Drosophila melanogaster: one gene and its partner. The protein of the gene in region 1 interacts with the protein of each later gene in a pairwise test. Each region holds a gene or a part of one and is shown on either strand. Other genes may lie near its edges. The genes, in order: PGRP-SA and CG7556.

The links.
Region 2: the proteins of PGRP-SA (region 1) and CG7556 interact in a two-hybrid assay, tested with the Drosophila melanogaster proteins (one large-scale study listed by BioGRID).

The regions. Positions count from the first base shown.
Region 1 is NC_004354.4:11,559,524-11,563,381, reverse strand, and holds PGRP-SA (peptidoglycan recognition protein SA), read right to left. Parts: upstream 1,740-3,858; 5' UTR 1,410-1,739; coding exon 1,102-1,409; intron 1,044-1,101; coding exon 925-1,043; intron 864-924; coding exon 679-863; 3' UTR 603-678; downstream 1-602. UniProt on the Drosophila melanogaster protein: Peptidoglycan-recognition protein that plays a key role in innate immunity by binding to peptidoglycans (PGN) of Gram-positive bacteria and activating the Toll pathway upstream of spz activating enzyme SPE.
Region 2 is NC_004354.4:19,178,084-19,182,007, reverse strand, and holds the start of CG7556 (uncharacterized protein), read left to right. Parts: upstream 1-2,177; 5' UTR 2,178-2,328; coding exon 2,329-3,008; intron 3,009-3,760; coding exon 3,761-3,924. Other genes in the region: CG7453 (uncharacterized protein), read right to left, coding at 815-1,729.

The DNA of each region.
Region 1 (3,858 bases):
GCAAATAGGTCTCTCATACAAAATTCAATACTGTTTGCAAAAGTAGCTTTAAACAAGTTGTATAAATTAGCCTACAGTTTCGTATTTGGTTTTGTGGTAAAGTAAACATTTTGAATTGTTTGCGTTAACCAGAAAAGCGAATTCGAAGCCATTTATATTTGCACAAATTGTTTCAAGTTGCAATTCTCGAACTGTATTCGATAATGCGAATCTATTTCTTTGCACAACCCACTGTATGAAATTGTTTACTAACTGGAAGACTCTTGTCACTCTTCTGCAAAGTACTTTCACATTTTTTTGAATATCCCTATTCTTATTTTGCCTAATGTTAGTATAAAGACCCTAGTTATTAAAAACAACAACAAAACAAGCCAACGTCAGACACTATTTGTAGCGTTTTCCATATACCCTTTAAATCCCTAATTAACCCGATCAGTTGTTTTCGCCTGCACACAAATGTTACTTATAAAGCATAAGAATGCAGGCACCCACCCATACACTACACTATATATTCATATATATTTTTACGTCCGACACATTTTTGTAAATTATGACAGAAAACAAAATAGAAAATTATAAAATAAAAACCACAAAAAAATACTCAACAACATTGGTTTATTTACTTTACTAAACTGATATGCTCATTCTGGCAGACTACTGCAATTACTTGTAGTTGATTTAGGGATTTGAGAGCCAGTGCGGCCACTCTTGGATCTCGTTGTATAGAGTCAGTCCGGGACTCTGGGTGCTGATCACCTGGGAGCCGGCGATCAGGGCGTAATCCTCGCTCAGCTCACCCTGCTGCACTCCGCAGGCCAGCAGATCTTTGGCCGCCTGGAGAGCCGCATCCGATGGAAGTTTATCTATCGGAGATGTTGGGCATGTAGTGCTCCACATAGCGGAGAATATCGATTTGCAACTTACCCACAAAGTTGCCGATAAAGGCTATGCCCGTGCCAATGGCATTGTATCCATAGGTGTGGGCACCGCGCAATCCCCAACCAGTGCCTTCGTATACGATACCATCGTTGCCGATCAGGAAGCTGAAAGAGATCATTATCATAATAGTTATCTTGATAATTGCGAAGGTGCCATCCGTACTTGTAACTAATATCGTTGAAGTCCAGCTCGTTCTGATGATACGCCTGCATGTTCTGGAGAATCTCGGCGCACTTGAGCAGTCCGCTGCACTCGCCGGTGACCGTGTGATGGATGACCACATAGCGGATGGGACGCACTTGGTAGTGGAGTCCCAACGAAGGCTTGCCGCCCCACTGACGCTTCAGCTTGATGGTGGGGCAATTGGCTGGCGAACGCTGACGCGACTTTCCGGCGGAGACGAATGCCAGCAGTAGTAGCACCAGCCCAATGGCCATAATCCAAGGAGATCCGAATCGAACCGGCTGCATGATGTTGATGTGCTAAGATCTAAGGCTGGATGAGAACTGCTCTCGATGGGCTATCTGCCGGATTTATCAGGGCCAACGATCCGAGCTTTCTGGAGCTTACGATCCCGCAGAGCCACAGGGGACTCCCGTCCATTAGCCATCTCCAGATCTTCCGATCCGTCGCAAATCTCCGCGTTCTTTGTTCGGTTCTTTTTGTTTTGCATCACATTTGCGAAGCGACAAGCAAAAAGCCCAAACAACAATTTAAAACGGGTTGAAAGCCGATCTCTGTGATGGAATTTCCGCTTTTCAGCTAGTGACGAATGCTTCCCTAGAAGCAGTAAGATTTGTGATATGTACACACGAATACTAACAGTTAAACTAAATTAATGATTAGCTGAAAGTCTCGCGAGAAGTTCACTGATAACAGCCGCAGAGAGCGTTAGATTTTTATTTTTTTGTTTGCAAATTGAGTAGTAAATATGTAAAAAAAAAGTATAAGTGTAGCAATATTACTCACGAATATATTGTGTATATTATCGTTCGAGCTTATAAATGAAAAGATATAGAAGGCTCGCATGCCGACATGTCGTTCATTAAATCAATTTATGGTTAATGAATTAAAAAAGAGGGCGAGGAAAAACGTATACTTCCCTTAAATAGAACGTAATGGCAATAGTTTTTGCCAAAAAACAAAAAATGAACAAACAATACATTTTGTAGGTCAATGAAATGCGTGTAAATGTTTAATACCGTCCGCTTTTCTTTACTAACTTCAATTTCCAAGGGTAAAAGTGTTAAATGCCAGCTAAAAAAAGGCAGTTTCAATAGTTTTTGCCAAAAAACAAAAAATGAACAAACAATACATTTTGTAGGTCAATGAAATGCGTGTAAATGTTTAATACCGTCCGCTTTTCTTTACTAACTTCAATTTCCAAGGGTAAAAGTGTTAAATGCCAGCTAAAAAAAGGCAGTTTCATTAGGATGAATAACTCGCGGGAAAAGTTAAAGATTCTTTTAAAAAGTAGATAATAATTGACCCCCATGCTATGAACTTGATTGCGATGTGTGTGGTGTCTATAAATTGTGAATTACTCATGGCATTTGCATTTGCATGTCTCTGCCTTAAGGTTTTCCACCGAAGGCGATCCGCATTGCAAATGCATTACGCTAACCACTGGATGCATTTTTTTATTCATTCATTCATTCTATTTTGGTTTCTGTTATTATTGGTGCTATTGATAAAAGCCGTTTGCCCGATAACTGCCACCCACTACAGGGCGGGGCAATCCGGCGTCATCTCCGCCGCACTAGCGTTACTCATCAGACTTACCGCTCAGTGTTTTACTGCTGCACTGCAAGAAAGACTATCTAATTTCGCGTTACTTCACCGAAAGTGATATTATGTTTATCAAAGTTTTTATGGCTTTGTAATTGATGATATAAACAAATGGTTATAGACATGGTATTGGATATCATTGGTAATAGATATGTTGTTTATAAATGGGGTTATCCATAAATAATGTACGAGCAGATCAATCAGATATTATTAATCATATAAATTCAGTGTGCATATATACTTTGTGGTACTAGATAGATTATGCATATCTTACATATTTATATAATAATTCTAATTCTAATATGAACACACACTAGTATTTCTTTTCAGTGCACTCTCTATCGCCCTCACCCACTTTTCTCACTCTCCACTTTCAGGTGGCGCTGAGTCAGAGAAAAAGTCCGAGGAGCTTCCACTAGCAAGTTTAATTCCTTTCTTTTTAATTGCCAATCCGTGGGCGGCCAATGAACAGTGTCAAGGGGGCGTGGCCGGGGGCCTAGTTGCACTTGAAGATTACAAATATTAAGGTTGGCCGCTCCGCTGCTTGGCTGCTCTGCCGCTCACTCGATGACATCATGACGTCAGGCGTCATTTATACCGCGCTAGCCAGCAGTCAAGTCAACTTGTTGGCGTTGTTGGCTGAATTGCCTTGCTGATACCCTGGATGAAAACGCATCCGGGTGGCATAGACCAGTCATTATTTCCAATGTTGTGGCCAAAAAACTAAATATTTTCTTCCTTTAAATCTGAAAACCGTCTTTTGGCCAAAAATACGATTTATGCAAAGGGTGTTTTTATCATAACTTGTCTAAAAATGGTCATAAACGCATAGGAATGACTGTTTTGTGCAGCTAATAACCCCTACTAACTATCCCTATCACTTTTTGATGGATTTTGAAAAATTAATTTTTGGGTCGATTTTTGCATATTCGGTATTCATCAAAATTTGCGAAAAATGGCAAAAAATTAAAAATCCAAATTTTAAACACAGTTTGATTAGAATTTTGAATACGAACTCAACGAGGTATGACAATCCATATTTGGATCATTATTTCCAATGTTGTGGCCAAAAAACTAAATATTTTCTTCCTTTAAATCTGGAAAACGTCTTTTGGCCAAAAATACGATATG
Region 2 (3,924 bases), 7.6 Mb from region 1:
TTTTTAGCCTTGTTGCTTTATTGTAGTTGTTAAATTAATAACAATAAGAAATATGTATATATATATATATATATATTCATATTTATGTATATACACATGGTATGCAATAAATTTGCTTGTTTCAGGCCGATTGCTTGTGTTTTTGGTTTCTGCTGGTTTTTTTTTTTGAGTGAGTGCTGCTGCTTGGTTGCGTAAAGTAAATGCGAAGAAATCACCTCGAAGACCCGGCGATGGAGAATATCATGTGTAAAGGTGTATATAGAGCTGGTTCGTAAGGCACATTACGGCTAGATTGTGGATGCATCAAGTGATTGCTAATTGCGCTGATGTTGATGTTGATGGTTGATGGTTGAGAGTCCGCAGCCTTCGATGTACAGCAGCAGCCTAAGTAGATATATGTATATATAGGGTACATATAAGTGCCGGTATCAATTTTTGATTGCTAACAAATGCTTGACAATAATCCAAATGCTTAAACTTAAGAGTCCACTCGAATTTAGTGTTGAAAATCAGTTGGCTTTAAATTCAATTTGGCCGCTCGGAAGGGTATCCTAGCCACGCTGCAAAGCGAATCCCTTTCTCCTCCTCCTCTAATTGACTGAGCAATATCATAGTTTCGTTTCGTTTTCCCACCGCCTCCTCTGCTCTCCGCTACTCTCACTCTGCTTTCGATCCGGCGATCTTGCATTGAATGCAAGCACGTCCAGTCGTGTATAACTTAAACAACTAATAATCATCCGAGTGCGCCGGAGGAGGCGTTGGAGCACCCGGTGAAGTGGCCGCCCTTGCCGCCAGCCTGTCGTCCGCGTCTTCGTCAGTCGTTGTACATGCCGTCCACCAGGAAGTCCATGCGACGGTAGTGCCTGGTGCTCCACATGTCGCGGAAGCGGCGGTACATGATGGTCACCACGCCGATGGCCAGCGGAACGGTCAGCAGCACGGTAACAATGGGTACCACATACCCGTTCTCTCCGTGATCGGCAAGATTACTTCCAGTAAGCCCCTGCACCAATGGCTCTGGTGGTGTGGCCAATGGCTGGGTGGGAGCGCCCTTTGTACCTGGCTTATCCTGACTCTTTTCCAGCTCCGCCATATCCTCCCCCTCCTGGTGTATATCAGTGCTCAATACCACTGGGGGCTTCTTCGGCTTTGGCGTGGTTGCGATGATGGTTGAATTGACAGTTTTGGTGGTGGCTGTGGCGGTGTGGGTGCTGTTGGTCGGGGATATTGCCGCGCCGTTGGTGGACGAGTTGCTCGGCTTGGTGACATCCTTCATGGACTGGCCCTCGGTGACTATGGCTGATCCTGCAGCTGGCTTTGCCGTGGTGGTGGTGGTCGTGGTGGAAGAAGTTGTAGTGGAGGTCGTATTGGTCGCCTCCTTGGCCGCCTTTTGCTCCACAGCCGGCTTGGAAGTGACCAAAGGAATGGTGGGCACTCCTGTATCGGTGTTTGTGAGATTTTTGGCTTTACCTGCATTTTCTGCTGTGGCCGTTTTGTTTAAGTTCTTGTCCTGTTGCAACACAGCTGCATCCTTACCCGGCACCAGCTGGCTGGCAGCTCCCGGAGATCCAGATTCCAATTTCGATCCTGGAATAACTTTGGCCTGCAGCACGTTCGTCGCATTGGCCACCACTGGGGCGTCCTTGGTGGCGGAGTTAGCTGTCTGCTTCTGCTGGCCTGAGACCAGGACCAAGATGCTCAGCAGCCACAGCATATAGAGCAGCTTCATTGTCGTCTGATTTCTTATTCTTATAAGAGTGAAACGTCGCGTCGCTTCTATTCATTTAGTTGCACAAGTGATGCACCATCGAGAGCTTATCGATAACAGTCGACAGTGTTGGGCGTTTTGGTTTGAAACAGGTGAAAAACGTGTATCAAGTTAAAACAAAATTCGGTATAGAAAGAGAATTTGTTTTATTGTTTTCAGGAAGAACTTGACAAATGTTATGAGCAAATTTTAATGAGCAAACAAACGAAATCTGTTTGACCTACTGTGTGTCGTTAGTTGGAAAAAAAAATTTGTAAAATTTGATTACATATATATGGTTACAGAATTAGTGCAGTAAATTATTTTTGAACAAAAAAACAGAAATTCGTAAAAATAAATAATAGAAACGTTGCAAATATCTTTTTGTCTACACAAACTTTACCGAGTGGTGGCAACGCTGTCGCACCAGCGACCAGTCTGCTGACGTTGCCACTTTCCAGCTGAGCCTATCCGTGTTTGCTTGCGTGTGTGTGTATTTGTGGTGCGTGCGTGGGTCTGGCGCATTAAATTTGGATTTTACTCCGATTTGGACCTGACCTGGATTCGGAACTCGGACCACGATGATGATGCGACCGGAGCTGACGCTGGCCGGCCTCCTGCTGCTCTGCGCCACTGGCGCCAGCGCCTGGCACTCGGAGGAACTGGAGATCTTTGACTTGGTCGAGGAGGTAAACCGCAACTTCTACGAGTTCATGGGCATCAACCAAACGGCAACGGGCGCCGAGGTGAAGCGCGCCTTCCGCACCCTGTCCATTGTCCTGCATCCGGACAAGAATCCGGCCGAGGATGCCAACATCCAGTTCCGCAACCTCGTTTCCATCTACGAGGTTCTCAAAGATCCGTCGCGCCGAGAGAAGTACGACCGGGTACTGAAGGAGGGCATGCCCAACTGGAAGTCTGCCCTCTACTATTACCGACGTATGCGCAAGATCGGGCTCTATGAGGGCGCCTTTATCCTCTTCCTGATAACCACCGTGGGCCAGTATCTATTCGCCTGGGCGGCCTACCTCGAGAAGAAGTACACCGCCGAACAGGTCTTTGGCACCAAGCTGAAGAAGCTGCAGAAGAAGAACAAGAACATCGACATGGACGTGATCCTTAGCGAGATACCGATGCCCTCGCTACTCAACACCCTGCCCATCCAGATCCCCTTGGCCCTGTGGAACCTGCCGCGCACCATCAAGAACGGATTCAGCAAGGCCAACGAGCTAAAGGAACTCGCCCTGGAGAAGCGCAGGCAGTAAGTGGCAGGGTTCTATTGCTTACCTTACGTTTTTACGTTATTATAGCGCCTTGTTCCATTGTAGTCATTTTGGAGTTGTAGGATTTTGCTATTTCATTAAGTTTCTATATCGAGAGGTCCTGGCAGCGGAAGGATTATTATTTTGCGACCTTGTGCTCGGAGTTTTGGCAGACCTCTCTTACTTTAGTCTTCAATATCTTAGTATATAGAGCAACAAAAGAATATAATTCTAGTTTTGTATTGCATCAGGTTTTGATAACTTACATTGCCACTCTTATCGTTAATTCGCTGTGGTTTCTGTATGTTCATTGCATGCAGAGTGATATCATTTAATATTAAAAGTTGGTTAGTTTCTCATTTCTCAGTTGAAATTTTGGTCATAGCCTTTAGTTAGCATTTTATATTCACAAGCTAGAACAATTCTTCTAAATATAGGCAATTCAATTAAGAAACAAAGAAAGAAAACGATATGTCACCATGCAAACACATTTTATGCTTTCCAAAAAAGGTGCTCATGAGTGCACCTTAAGATGACTTGCACCATTAGATAGGTTCCAAAGAAGGAATATTGTCAGTCTTTGTGTCGCACGATAATCAAATGAAACTGAGCATTCTTGATATGACCACAGATAAGGTACTAAAATTCGATTAGCGTAGAATAGCTAACAAGCTAACAAAAATCGTGTGGGAACGGTATCCAAAAGTAAGAAGTAAGAAACTAATTGATTCATCCCAATTTGCATCCACAGGGAACTGGAGGCCGTCCGTCGTCAGGAGGAACTGGAACGGGAGGCCGAGGAGCAGGCGCGCCTTCGCAAGGAGCACAAGGAGAATCTGCGGAAGCGCAAGCAGAACAGCAAGGCTCCAGAGAAGACCGAGGAAGAATTGCGCGGCTATTCGCAGATTCAGACTC